3 linked regions of the Kluyveromyces lactis genome follow. The protein of the gene in region 1 purifies or fractionates together with the protein of each later gene. This does not show direct contact. Links are inferred from orthologs where the notes say so. Each region holds a gene or a part of one and is shown on either strand. Other genes may lie near its edges.

The links. Proteins that work in one complex are often made in the same cells at the same time.
Region 2: the proteins of LSG1 (region 1) and MEX67 purify together in Saccharomyces cerevisiae (affinity purification with western blotting; 8 studies listed by BioGRID, with this or other methods). This does not show direct contact. The link is inferred for Kluyveromyces lactis from reciprocal best matches to the Saccharomyces cerevisiae genes LSG1 and MEX67.
Region 3: the proteins of LSG1 (region 1) and RPL10 purify together in Saccharomyces cerevisiae (affinity purification with mass spectrometry; 5 studies listed by BioGRID, with this or other methods). This does not show direct contact. The link is inferred for Kluyveromyces lactis from reciprocal best matches to the Saccharomyces cerevisiae genes LSG1 and RPL10.

The regions. Positions count from the first base shown.
Region 1 is NC_006042.1:640,223-645,444, forward strand, and holds LSG1 (ribosome biogenesis GTPase LSG1), read right to left. Parts: upstream 3,656-5,222; coding exon 1,709-3,655; downstream 1-1,708. Other genes in the region: SNAP receptor USE1, read right to left, coding at 39-821; RRT2 (diphthamide synthase), read left to right, coding at 3,818-5,077. UniProt on the Saccharomyces cerevisiae protein: GTPase required for the nuclear export of the 60S ribosomal subunit. Acts by mediating the release of NMD3 from the 60S ribosomal subunit after export into the cytoplasm.
Region 2 is NC_006039.1:844,836-850,297, forward strand, and holds MEX67 (Mex67p), read right to left. Parts: upstream 3,234-5,462; coding exon 1,467-3,233; downstream 1-1,466. Other genes in the region: DAP1 (Dap1p), read left to right, coding at 1-383; OSW1 (Osw1p), read right to left, coding at 494-1,144; protein-transporting protein SEC63, read left to right, coding at 3,806-5,462. UniProt on the Saccharomyces cerevisiae protein: Involved in the export of mRNA from the nucleus to the cytoplasm.
Region 3 is NC_006040.1:485,677-490,149, forward strand, and holds RPL10 (60S ribosomal protein uL16), read left to right. Parts: upstream 1-2,344; coding exon 2,345-3,007; downstream 3,008-4,473. Other genes in the region: ubiquitin-specific protease OTU1, read left to right, coding at 77-1,036; BUD20 (Bud20p), read right to left, coding at 1,203-1,706.

The sequences.
Region 1 (5,222 bases):
GCCTTTATCTAAATCTTGGAGATTTTAGCGGAAGACACTCATAAATCTGGAAATACTTTTATTACAAGATAGGTGACCAATAGACCAATTATAATAAACGATAAAAGTCCTAACTTCATTAAAAATCCAATTTTTTCATTGTGATACTTTTTCAATCTGGATCCGAGTGAAGAAAGGCTCTTAGAAGTAACATGCAATCCGATTTCTGCTGCCTTAAGAACAGTAGAGTCGTGTTCGATAGCATTCTGGAAAGCTTCCGCACCTTGTCTTAAGCCTGAAACTAGCTGGGACATGTCTTCAACCAGTTCCTTCTGAAGATCATCCTGAATTTGCATTTGTTTGTCAAATGATTCACCCTCCGTATCAGCGCTGTCCCTTCTTTTACCCATAAGCCTTTGGCGGAGCTCCTTCAAAGAATCGTTGTCATTAATTGCTTCAACATTGGATATTATATCAACATCGTCCTCATCTCCTATAGGCACGTCGGGCGTTGCATCGAAATCAACACTATATCGCCTTTTCTTTTGAGATTCCTGATATGCATCATATTTCTGTTGCAACTTAGAAGCTTTGGAGAAACTGATAGAGCTAACCGATTCCTCTAGTCTGCTAAAGTTTTTCTGGTATCTATCAATAGCATCAGAAGACGGATCATCCAAGTTATCCTTTATAGCCAGTTTTCTCACGGTATTTAAGTTTGTGGCCAGTTTTGTAGATATAAGATAATGGTAAAAAGGGTCTTCGTCATCTTGAAAGAGCGAAAGGTCCCTGTAATAATTTTTGCGTAGTTGATCACTTAATGTGTCTAAATCTGTCGTCATATTCCGTCAGTTAATGTCCTTTAACGAGGCGCTATCCCTTTTTATTTGTGATTGGAATTGTACTAAGTATTATTTTAAAGGCTATATTACATTTTGTTTTATGTCACTAAAATATTATCCCAAACCTCAATCAAAGAAATAACAGAGCTGTCTGAATGAAAGTCATTCACTCTGAAGCATGACCCTTGCCAACCCTTACAAAAGCGCATGTAAGAAAGAGTGGACCGAGTGCTACTTAATGTATCTACCGATGGTAAGTATAACATAAGGCTGAACTTGGTTAACTATTGCTAAATCTTATTGATATACAAATTCATACGACTCTCATAATATTTCAGAGGAAACTACTGAACCAATTAAATGGGTAATATTTCCGCCCACCTACTATCAAACTACAAACTGTAGGAATTCAGTTGTTGTTAGCGAAAAGGGCGTTAAATGGGAGTATCCCAGCTCTGGGCATCTTGAGCTTACTTCTACATGCGTGGAATAAGTCTGCGCCATGATAACCACAACGCGAACCATAATTGAACATGCCGAAATGTGTTTAAGAGCCCTTGTTTGCTGAGCTAGGAACCAAAAAGATAACCACAAATGACAAGAATACTTATCAACTGGACCATGTACTGAGGTCAAGTATAAAGTAAACCAACTTTAACCAAGTTTTGTATCCTTTTCTTTTGGTTCATCAAATTTTTCAGTAAACACCGGGTAATGCAGTGACAAGTTGCATGCTAACCATAGGTCTTATAACCGGAAGCAGGGCAGCTAAGGAAGATATAAAGGATATGCAGTTACATTTCCATAATGAATGGGGATAATAGACTGTGCAAACAGTGGATTTATATATATATAAGAGTTTAGGATGAATTTAGATAGTACTTACATTAATCGGAAAACATGGAAGCCTTTTTCTTACTCTTCTTGTTCTTCTTGTTATGCTTCTTACCATTTTCGTTGGCGACGGTTTGCTTATGGAAAGGGTTCGTAAGTCTGCCTTGAACACCGTTCAAATGGAAGAAATTTTTGTCAAGTTCATCAGCTACGTTGTACAAGGCTGCTTGTTTACCACCATGGTTGACAGATTTAGCTTGTACTTTATCACCATCACCACCAATATGAGCAGAGAACGTTAATCGACTTAAATCGCGAGCAAGATCCAAATCTTGTATACCTTTGTGTTTGGCAGCTTCTGCAAGTTGCTCTTGTCTGTTGATAGGTAATTTACTGAACGTGTATAAATCTTTGTTGAATTCCTTACATTCTTCTCTGGTATATGGCGTATCATCGTCCATGTGAGGCGGTGGATTAATGTACAGGAGTTTACCGTTCACATAATCTTTGAGAATGTAACGAGAGGCACGAGATTCATCTGCGGCACCAAAACCTTGTGTCATATAACCACGAGCTCTGGCATAAGCAACGAGTAATTCTTGTGCAGTTGGTACTTCACCATTCCCACCCTCTTCTACGGATTTGGTCTGAATATGGATACCGTAAATGGCTTCCAAAAAGTATTTAGGGACCCTTTCTGCCACTAATGTCGATGGCCCAATATAGTCACGTAACTGATCGATCGGTAGAACACCGTTACACACCAATTCACCTTTATTGTATGCAAAATTAGGGAAAACTAGACCTGGACAGTCGCATAACGTTACCTTATCAGATAACTTGATAGTTTGGAAATGTTTGGTCTTACCAGGGGTAGAAGAGACAGAAACTTTCTTGGCACCCACCAAGGCATTTATAGTGGAAGACTTACCAACGTTTGGATAACCCACTAGACCTATTTGTATGATTGGCTCTTGACCGGGCAATGGAGGAAGTAGCGGATCGTTTGGCGCTTTATCTAAGAACAATTCTTCAAGTTGATCGATCTTCAGTATGTTAATTTTATCCAGAATTTCTTTGTTCACTTCTTCCCCATCAAGTTCTTCAATTTCTTCCTCTGTAGCCAGTATTTCCTCATCGTCCTCTTCTTCAACGTATTCATCCCCTAGTTCCTCTTGTCTCTCTAATATTTCATTAGCCTTGGCAGCAGAAAAGAATGTAAAAGAGATGCCCCTCGAGAGAAGGTACTTGGCCCAAATAATACGTTGCTTTCTTGTTAATAAATCCGCTTTGTTGATCAAAAGTAAATTCTGTTTCCTGTCATCCACTTCTTTCACATATTTCTCTAAATCTGTGGATCTGAATAATAATGGATCTCTGGCATCCACGATTTGGACTACTAGATCACATCGCTCAACAACTCTCCACAACTGCCTCCAAACTTCAATGTTTCTCTCGAATGGAGTCAATAACAAATCCTCGTTGTCTTCTTGCAAATAGGCTAATTTACGTCTCCATTCCAAGAATGCTTCCTTTTCTAACCTTTCTAATTCAAATCTGGTCATAGATTCATTCCACTTAGGCCTTCTTGGGACAATCAACTCTCTAGCATGTAATCTCTGCTTCTCGTTGATCTTACTTTTCTGCTCATTGGTCAAACTAAATCCCTGGGATGTGGCTGCATCGGCACCGTTATCCATTCTGATGATCTTGACATTAGAATGTCTGTCCGCTGTGAAATCCTTGTCTGCTAACTCAGCAGTACTCAAAAATTCATCTAATGCAGATTCCTGAGTAACAGATCTCAATTTTACCCAATTAGCTTCGTGCTTATCGGTAGTGAAACGTTCTTCACCATCTGGCAAATACTGCACTTCATTTTCCTTACGTCTTGCAGTTTGAATTGCCTTACCTAACCCAATAGTGTTTTTATTCTTCCTTTGAATAGGCTTTGGACCCTTTGGAGGTTTCCACTTCTTTGTTGTTTCCTTTGGTGGCATGCTGCTAGTCCGTGTTGCTTGTAGACCTGCCGTTAACTGCTAAGATTGTTGTGCTGATGCTTTGCTTATGATGAGATGAGCTGGTTAACATATTAAAATTTTCCGCTAGTACGTAAAGTGTAAAAAAGAAATTGTGTGGTAAACCTGAACTAGAACAGATGGATGGCTCAACAATCTTTACAAAAGCACCCGCATGATGAGGATGCAGAGTACGACTCCAACATAGGTATTGCATACCACCTTAGAGGAGCGACAAAATTAGAAGTCAAGAGTTTCTGCAGAATGGAAGAAACTGCAGCTGATAAAAGGGTTACCACGCGTCTTCCTCCATGTTGCTTGTGTATTTTAAGAGAGAAATTTATCATTGTGGGTACCTATCTCTTGCATAAGGACTCAGGCAATCGAACTGGCTCTATTGAGGTTTATGATAAAGAATTGAACCTTCTTTCTAGCATAAAAACCTATGGGGCAATTTTAGATTTGAAGCTCAATCCATTCGATGATACTTTACTCGCAACAGCTCATTCAACCGGTAATATGATTCTGTGGACGATATCTGTCGACGATGATAATTCATCAATTGATATCAAACTATTGAACAACCTTCAAGTATTTGATCCCACATGTCTAATAACGTCTCTCCAGTTTTCTCCATTGCTGGATAATCTCGTACTTTTAACCACTACTAATGGGGATTTTGCTACTGTTGATATCATACATGGTGAAATATGCTTTATAGAGGAGGTGGAGCCATCGTATTTCGACTCCTCAACAATAAATTATATTGAGGTGCCAAATGCAGACATCAAAGTTATAAATGTTCAGAATGACCATGAACAAATCTTTCATTTCAAACATTCTTTGGAGTGCTGGACCGGCGAGTTCGGCTGTTTGGCTCCTTTGAAAGATGTTGTATTCACTGGTGGTGACGACTCTGCAATTGCAGCTCATGATTTGAATTCAGGCAAAAAGATCTGGTCCAATTCAAAAATTCATCAAGCTGGTGTTACGGCAATTAAGGCTGCTAGGGAGACATTTAGAGGCAACAAGCCAACAAGTTTAATCACAGGCTCTTATGATGACCATATACGATCCTTTGATCTAAGAATGCTCTCAGAAACCACAATATATCCAGGGACAGACGTCCCTGTGGTTAATAAATGGGAAGACAATTTACAGGGTGGTGTTTGGAGATTCTCGGAGGCCCCAACGAATGACGGACTGTCAAATAACAGACTTATGGTTTGTTGCATGTATAATGGTGCGAAGGTTGTCAACGTCCAAAACGATCATTTCGTGACCGAGCAGTTTATAAAAGAAGGGCATGAATCAATGTGTTACGGTGGTGATTGGAGTAAAGAAACAGTTGCAACTTGTTCTTTTTATGACAAGTCCCTACAACTTTGGAAAAGTCCAAATTAATACACATATAGTTTTAAAAGGAACGAAAAAAGCAGACGGAATTGAGACATAATTGATGTGTTCTCACTTCGCTGTTTCGATGAGCTTCAGTATGTATTCTTTTTTAAATATAGGACCATTTGTTTCATCTTATTAACGCACGTGA
Region 2 (5,462 bases), on another chromosome or scaffold:
GCGGCAACGAAGGTGCTAGCTCTAAGTCAAATGACCCAATTGTGGAAGGAAAGTTTTATCCCAGAACGCTATCCAAATTCAATGGACATGACGATGAAAAGATCTTTATCGCAGTTTTGGGGAAAGTGTACGACTGCAGCCAAGGAAGACAATTTTACGGGCCTAGCGGACCATACTCTAATTTTGCTGGACATGATGCATCCAGAGGACTTGCTACAAACTCATTTGATTTGGATACAGTAAGACACTGGGACCAACCTATAGATACTCTCCAGGACTTAAACGAGCAAGAGCGGGGAGCTCTAGAAGGATGGGCTGCGCATTTCCAAAAGAAGTACCCATGCATAGGAAGTTTGGAAGCTGAACCCGGTGTAAACAATTAGAATATTTGTTCAGGCCTTGGTGAGATTAAGGACTATTTTTGTATTTATTTATGCTTCTGTTTTCTAGTGTACTACAAGTCCAGATAATTTATATGTCTGTATATGATGGATTAGGACATGGTCTCTGCAACTTCCTCAAAGAAGAAGCGCGAAACAGGTTCAGGCTGATTTCTACTCCTGAAACCATTTCTCGTCGTTCGCTGACTAGGATTCAAAGAAGGATAGTCACGTATTCTAAAAGTGTGCTCTTGTCCTATATTAATCAACTTCGGATCTTCTGTGTAACAGCACGGTATGTCGACAGTTTTCACGATTCCTTGTTCAGAATAATTGACCTTTAAATCTGCGTGTTTTGCTACTTCTTGCCTAACTGTGTGCCTCGAATTTTGATAAGGATCTCTCTCTACAGATGCGTTATTCACTATTCGTTTCATTGAGAATTTTCTACCGCTGATCCAAGATCTCAAATGTCCATTGGTTTCTAGAATTCTCACCTTTGGCGAATTCTCCTGACCTTTATTAAACGATACTAGAAGCAATGGTTTCATGTTACTCGATTTATGCGACATACCAGTAGGAAGATTAGCAATACGGTCTATTGGGATTGCAGATCTCTGATTTGTATTCCTTGAGCTCTTCTTCAACTTGTGTAGGTTCCATCGCCTTTTCAATCTTTTCAAAGTGACACAATTATGCACCTTATTAAATAACCTTCTAAATCGATTATATTTTGATTGGCGAGGTTCTGGTATCGATCTCATTTAATGTAGTTATATTGCCTTGGAATAGTGAGTTTTCAGCAAAACTGTAGTGAGCTTATAATCACAATTTGTAATTTGCTTAAGAGTTCATTGGCTAGTATAATGTTCTGAATGTTAGGCCCTTTTTTTATTGACGTACACTTTGTGACAAACAGGATATATGATAAAAAATAGTCACAGAGTCAAGTCACCTTGAATCCAACTGATATAAATAGATGGATATACTTAGTTTAATTTATTTGTGTGAGATGCAACTATATATTATACTGAATGAATTAAGATGTTCTTTTTTAAAGAAGCGCACATGATTAGCTCAATACTTTTAGATGAATGCCTCTCTGGGTAGATTGTTTGCACTGTTTCTAAATCCTTGGATAGCATTATCATAGTTCCAAAGACTTTGCTCGGCAAGCATATAAGTGTACTCAGCGTTAAGCTTTGTTTCAAGGTGTAACTTCTGAAGTAGTTCTAATTGTACAGGTGACAATTTTGCTTGCACTTCCGGTGAGAATTGCAAAGGTGTCGATCCAAGAACTCCCGGGATTTGGCCAGGAATGGATGATGTATTTGGCGGAGTTTGTGAGAGGGGCACGTTCATTTGTGGCTGATGTTGCACAGATTGAGCTTGGAGATGTGGTGGAGAAGGTGGTTTAGACCAAGCGCTATCACAGAATGGCCTTATCGTCAACGAATCAGATGCAATGATGACACTACCATTTGGACTTGGAACTAAGACCATTGTTCTATCGAAGGATTTCTGTGAAAGTTTGATGTTCGGCGTAGACGTAAATCCATGGTTGTATCTCCTTCCTCTAGAGGCAGATGATCCTTGTGATGTTTTGCTCTTGTCAATTTCAGGTTTGGCAGTTTCATCGAAATGGCCATGAAGAGTGATAACAAACCCTTGAACTTGTGGGAAGGTCCAGGCTTGCACAGAGTAAGCATCAGGTTGTTCTTGCAAAAAATGTTTTGTCATAGGGAGAGATCCGAACACTTCATAAATTGCTTCGGGCCCTATACGTAACCGTTCTTGGATGGTCTTGTCGCTAGATATCTTGGAAATGTTTCTTGAAAATGGTAAGTAATGACCGAATGTAGGAGTCGTTTGAGCATTAGGTACAGTAGCAGCTGGAACGGAAGAATCAACACTTAAGGAAAATTGAGACTGTGGAGTGTACAAACCCATCAATTGCATTCTATTCGAATCCCACAAGTTCAAGAAGTTGGTAATAAAATCTGTTGACGATGATGCCAATCCATTATCTTCGAAAAAGAACTGGGTTTGTTGTACCGGTAAGCTATAGATAGACAGTAGTTTCTGCTCGTCACGAACGACAACGTTATCTAGAATCACCAATTTGGGGAATATCCTTAACATTTCTGTACGATATAAACGATCCGATGTAATTGGATTATTCATCATCAGAAGCTCCCTCAACTCTTTGAATTTATTCTTCCAAACTTCAAGAGAATGGAATCGACTAATACTATTATTGGCGATGCATAGGTTTTTCAAATGAGGGAAAGTCTGTGCCAACGTGGTAACACCATTGACGTCTCTCAAATTATTATCAGATAGGTTGATCGATTCAACAACCATGCTAGGCTCCTTTGAAGCCACTTTCATCATAGCCGGGAACATCTTGGACTGCGTATTAACATTTTTCGGAGCCATACCGCGTTGCACCAACTCCGGATCATTGAACAAATTACCAAGATCCAACATCCTCGTTTGCACATTATATCTTCTCAAAAGCACATTACGAAGAACGGTTATCGTATCATTCGTATTAGGGTTTGTGTTCCCACCGGCTGCCTTGTGAATCTTCAATGAATTGCCTGCAAACCGGTACCCACTAAATTTCACCAATTGATCTGCCTCCTGCGGTGTCACATAACCAACTATAGTGTCCCCTTGAACCACAGAGTTTCTCACTGAGATCCTGGTCTTTCTCGAAATGAAATTCAACAAATCCTGTTGAGTAGCGTTAGTCCATCCACGAATGCTAACGCTGACTAAGTTATCCAATTGGTTTTGCTGTGCCAAAGCACCAATCTGATTCACGTTACCAAAACCACTAACTTGCATCACTCTAGTAACGCTATATCACAAGACTTTTCTCAACCAAATCGGTTAACCCGGTGAGCCTCATCTTTCAATCTCTATTCCCATCTCAATTACCAATGAGACTAGCACATTTTTTGATTATTTCTAGGTTTTTAGCATTTTTTTTTTTAATTTTATTCTTCAGTTTAGTAGAAAGAGATGATCGACCAAATCGAAACAGAAAATTCAAGGTCATGTGATATATTACGAGCACGTGACGTATAAATATCTTTTTTTTTTTTGGTCTTTCTCTTCTATTTGTTCTTCTAAGCTCTGCCGTATTGAATACGTATAGTGTTTCAAACAGAAGGAAAAAAACCCAAAGGTTTTTGGAAAATACAGACTGGCATATTAAAATCGAAATAAGTTAACTGTTAACTACTTTTCTAGATCAGAGGAATAATTGTTTGCAGTTTGAAGGCTTTTTTGTTTAATAGTACACTGTGGTTCACTTTTTTTGATTGCTGCCTGCTGTGTGTTTTATTGTAGCGGCTTAATTTATTGGCAGTCTTTTGGTTCTACAACAGACAAGCAGACGAACAGACAACGACGCCATGCCGCAGAATTATGATTACGATGAGGCAAGCACCACATGGCCATTTTTCGTACTCACGGTGTTATTTGTGGCTGTTACACCGGTAACATTGATTGAGCTGTATAGATTGATTGTTGGGGACTCCAGCGATAAGAGTTCTTCATCAGAATGGAGTCAATTGCACGAAAAATATACTTCAGAAGAAGTTCGGAAATATAGACTTGCTAATAAGAAGAAAAGGTCCAAGAAGGGAATTTACTTCATTACCGTTGGTTGGGTGCTCATTTCGATGTTGATTTATCATATTCGTTCCAACGATGCTATCTATCAGATTGCAGCAGCGGCTTTTGATCCATATGAGTTACTTGGTGTGACGCTTTCGTCTACCGATAAAGAGATCAAGTCTGCATACAGGAAATTATCTGTCAAATTCCATCCCGATAAGCTTTCCAAGGACCTAAATGAGATTGAAAGAACGGCTATGGAGGAACAGTTCGTGATGATTAACAAGGCTTATAAGGCTTTAACTGATGAAATTACGAAGGAAAATTATAGAAAGTATGGTCATCCAGATGGTCCTCAATCTACTTCTCACGGTATCGCTTTGCCCAAGTTCTTGGTGGAAGGAGGTACTTCCCCATTTGTTGTTTTTGCATATTTCATTCTACTTGCGTTTGTGTTACCCATGGTAGTTTCTAAATGGTGGAGCACTTCGCAAGAGTACACAAAACACGGTATTCATTCTGAAACAGCATCTCACTTCGTTGACAAAATGTTCAACTTCAAACCATCTTATGTTGTTGTGCCAGACTTAATCATTAAATGGATCTCTGAAGCAAAAGAATTCCAATTGAAATTCCCAGAATTGTCTTCCGTGGACATCGCTAACATTATCCATTCCCATGTTAACCGTGAAAAGACTGAAAACGAATATGCAAGGAACTATGTGCTTACCAAATCATCGTTACTTTTCCATCAATTGATAGAAATCGCATCCACTTTTAGGAACACTGAAGTTGCATTGATGGCGTTAGACACGTATAAGACAGTGGTACAGGCAACTCCGTTATCGCCACACTCTCAAATCTTTCAATTACCAAACGTGGATAAAGAGCATTTCTTGGATTCAACTACAGATGATATTTGTGCCTTGGGTAAATTATTCACATACCCAGATGATAAGATAGGTAAGATGCTAGGAATAAAAGATGAAACAGCACTCAATGAAACTTTGAAAGTAGCGTCTCGTATTCCTAAGTTGAAGCTCGTCAAGGGCTCCTTCAAAGTTCGTGGATCTTCTCTAAATACCGCAGAACCAGGTTCTACTCCTCACATTCAAGTTAAAGTGTTGGTTCGTTCTCCAAGACACAAACTTTTCCCAAACTCATTGATCCCAGCTGAAAAAATAGCTGGCGATGATCCATTGTTATTGGAACAGGATCCCTTCGAAAAATTGTTGGAACAACCATTGTTGCCTGAAACTTTCGCACCTTTGCTTCCAACAAAGAGACGTACTTGCTGGTATGCGTTAGTGGTATCACAAAAGGATGGTAAAATAATTCAAACCCCAAGCTTGGCCCAAAGATTGTCCCTAGAAAATTTGGATGTCAATTTCGATAAAAGAGTTATTAAAGATTTAGACAAGGAATTTAACGCTGAAGACTGGACCATCGGCA
Region 3 (4,473 bases), on another chromosome or scaffold:
GATAGCCATAGCATTTCCATATATATCTGTCGAATAACCACCGCTAAACGAGACTTAATATATTTCCTATTCGCAGATGAGGGTCAAGGTATCTATTTCTGGGAAGAGCGACAAAGTTTTAACTGTCGAAGCCGAATGTGATTTGGAAACATTTCAGGGACTCATTCTGTCCTCATATGAAGATGATCTATCATTGCAGAGTATGCGGTACGGATTCCCACCTCAGAGTATACTTTTTCAGGGGAATGAGGCTAAGACACTTGAAGAGCTAGGAATATGCAATGGGGAACGGATCATAGTGAGCCTGAGTAAAGCCGATGAAGCTATTGCCACCAGAACACAACCAAGTATTAATGCCAGTAAAGCAAATACACTACCCAATAAAGAAGTGAAAAAGAAGCCCACTGGTAAATCTGAAAGTGTACAGATAGATTCAACTAGAGCACTACAACTCCATGAAGTGCCCGATGACAATTCGTGTCTATTCCATGCTATATCCTATGCTGTCTACAAGAACATTTCACTGTCATCAGAACTACGGGGAGTTGTGGCGTCAGAAGTCCGGAGAGACCCATTTGAATATTCAGATGCTATTCTTGGCAGGCCGAATCATGAATACAGTGAGTGGATAATGAAACATTCTTCATGGGGAGGTGGTATCGAGATTGCAATATTATCGAAACATTTTCAGTATGCGATATACGTGCTCGATGTGGATGCACGTAAATTCGAGAAATTCAACGAGGATTTATACGATAAATTTATTATTATAGCATATAACGGAGTTCATTATGATACGGTAGAGATATTTGATGGAACTCAGCATCAAACTGTATTTGACATCGGAGAGAAAGATACTGAATTCCTTTTACAAAAAACACAGGAGATCGCGAAGAAGATGAAAAGAGAGGGGAAGTCTTTCAATACTGCAAGAGATTCAATTTTATGCAATACTTGTGGCACCACCTTGATTGGAGAACGAGAGGTGAGCAAGCACGCTGAGAAAACTGGTCATGTTGATTTTAGGCAAAAATAAAACAAATATAACCATTGAATAATATTGAAGAAAGAAATAGCACTTAATATATGAGCGTCTGTATATCTACCAGTTTATATAATTGCACTTTCGGTGTATTTCTCTTGTGTTAAATGATAATATACATTGAAGAAAAAGCACAGGAAGTGAAAATGTTTTCCTGCATCTAATCAGCCATTTGAATTTCCCCTTCAGCAACTACAGCTTCTTGCTGTGCTTGTTCCTGTACTGCACCATCAAGGTATGGCAAAGTGGATTCTGTTGTGCTGACGTTGGCCAAAGTGGTATCAAGATGTGAGGTTAATATCTTTTCGTTTTCCTCCTTTTGAGGACCAATTTGAGATTTGATCTGCTCTACTCTAGCCAAGAACGAGTTCACACCACACCCAACAGCAGCATCTGCTACCTGTTGAGTGTATGGAACACCTTTCAATTCCTTCACCCTTCTCTTATGGATTTTAGTCTTCAAATGAGTCTTTAAGGCATATGCAGTTTCGAAATATTTAGCACAGTGTATGCAGTAGTATTGCCCTAGACCCGGTTTAGTTTCATCTATCGGCTGATTCAGGAGACTATCAATTTGCTTTTGAGATGTAAGCTCTTCATAGATCAAATCAAGATCCTTTGTTCTTCTCTTCGTCTTGTAACGTTTAACAGAATATCTTCCCATTTTCCTTTCTTACCTTCTCCTATATTTCTGACAGGCTGGTACCACAGATTAACTTAAACTATCAAACAAAACCAATGAGTATCTAAGTCTCATAGAGAAAGAGATTCAATGATGTGTGTTTGTACTTCTTTCTTCGCACTTGGCTTTATCGTAGAAACACCGAGTACATAAAATTTTCTGCAATATCATGTCTCGTCTCATCTCATCTCATCTCATCGACTTGGAAAAGAAATGAAATTTCAATCAGCATCACGTGCATAACAACGCATCTGGGACTGCTATCCCCAACACCCAGACACTATTACATATTGGCATTCAACATATTTTTATGATACAAAAACAACCACAATAGGAAATAGAGCACGTGATTAGTAACTATTTTCTTTGATTTGTTTTCACAGTAGTTTCTTACCGTGTGACTTCGCTACGACTTTCCAATCTTTTTCAAGTTTCTGACAAATGCAAAAGCTTCCTGCAATAGTTGGTGGTAATCATCGAGATTTTCAAATGTAATAAAAAGAGAACATAATTTAATGATAATTATCGATATCTTTAACATAAGGTTTGATCATTCGCTTCAATTTTGTTTATTATTTACAGGAACACCGATCACCTATCACCGTCCAAAGTAATTCAAAATGGCTAGAAGACCAGCTAGATGTTACAGATACCAAAAGAACAAGCCTTACCCAAAGTCTAGATACAACAGAGCTGTTCCAGACTCTAAGATCAGAATTTATGATTTGGGTAAGAAGAAGGCCACTGTCGATGAATTCCCATTGTGTGTCCACTTAGTTTCCAATGAATTGGAACAATTGTCTTCTGAAGCTTTGGAAGCTGCTCGTATTACTGCTAACAAGTACATCACCAAGATGACTGGTAGAGATTCTTTCCACTTAAGAGTCAGAGTCCACCCATTCCACGTTTTGAGAATCAACAAGATGTTGTCTTGTGCCGGTGCCGATAGATTGCAACAAGGTATGAGAGGTGCTTGGGGTAAGCCTCACGGTTTGGCTGCCAGAGTTGCCATTGGTCAAGTTATCTTCTCTGTCAGAACCAAGGACAACAACAAGGACACTGTCATTGAAGGTTTGAGAAGAGCTAGATACAAGTTCCCAGGTCAACAAAAGATCATTATCTCTAAGAAGTGGGGTTTCACTTCTTTGAACCGTGAAGAATACGTTAAGAAGAGAGACGCTGGTGAAATTAAGGACGATGGTGCTTTTGTCAAGTTCTTGTCCAAGAAGGGTTCTTTGGAAGAAAACATCAGAGAATTCCCAGAATACTTCGCTAAGGCTTAAATTTTTTATGTGTTGAATCAATAATAATTTCATCGTCATTTTAAGTAACCTAACCTACATACTATTTTAGCTTACCATTATGTTTTGGAGTTAATTCAATATCATTTTTCTTTCCTTCTCTTTAATCTCAAGTATGGACAATTCTCCCGAATAAAATGATACAAACCTATCCTTTGGCAATTACAATCATACGTAAATAATACATATAGATCCGCTTGGCAAAAACTAGGATTCTGTTTTACGTACAAATAATATTTGATCCAATGATGTACTTTTCAAGTCGAATTTATGGTAATTTCCAAGTGCCATATATGCAATCTTAGCCTTCATCCTTTTTTCTAAACTTGTAGGTGAGATTCTTCCTCTCCCTTTACTTGTAAGGATCGACGATATGCTGAAGATATGTTCGATATGAGTCGATGAAACAGCAATGCTGTCCATTAGGTGATTGAAAAGTGAAAGGATGGGGCAGTTTTTGATATCAGCCCAAATCTTGTGATGAACGTCCCGCATAGTCAATAAGAGATATTCATATTCACTTAGTTTGGTTCCATTAGAAAGTTTGAACATACCAATAGTCTCTTCATAAACGGTACCGTTACAATTCATATGATCTTCAGTATACTGAACGTGCATTTTATTGTATTGGCCATTGAAGCTTTGGACTTCTTTTAGAACCATTGAATAGAAAATGTACCGGAAATGTGATTCATCTATCCTTTGGTCATCGATGGTTTCACTGCCATCATCAAATACAATACTCATAATACCAGGTATACGTGGCTGAGATGTTGTGTCCATCCCGTTTTTCACTTGAATATTTAACATGGGAAATAAGATATCTGTAACAGCGTCACTGACACATCTTGACAAAAGCTCGTTATTCTTTTTATTGTTGCCCTTTTCGTACTGAAGGTTTAGTTTTTGCATGAGGTATGGCAAATTTCTGTACCCACAATTGAAATAACTAGCAACTACCAATAATCGTTCTTTCTCATAGGACTCAGTGTACTGTTCAATTTTACTCAAAAATCTCTCTATTTGAGTTAAAACCACAGTTATTCTGTCGTCATCCTTTGTAAAACCTAATTGTTTCCTATTAAGTTTGGCTTTCAATTTGATAACATGTGGCACTACAGCGTCTTTATAACTGCTTAAGGCAGAAAGCAAATACCTCGATGTTGTCTCTGGACTATTGAAAAAAGCTGTTATCGTCTGAAATGGTTTCAAAAGAATAATATACACTCTGATGCATTCAAAGTCGAATTCATCAAGCAATGAACTTAACGATCCCTCTTTGATCAACTGTAGCAGACATGGTGCCAATAGCGTTGCTCTTTCAAAACATAACACAGAATATGTCCATCTTGTTCTAACATAAGGAATTAGCCCATCAATGTCACCTAATCGTTTATCAGTACAGTATTTCTTAATGGCCTTTCGATTGACCGGCCTTCTGCATTCGA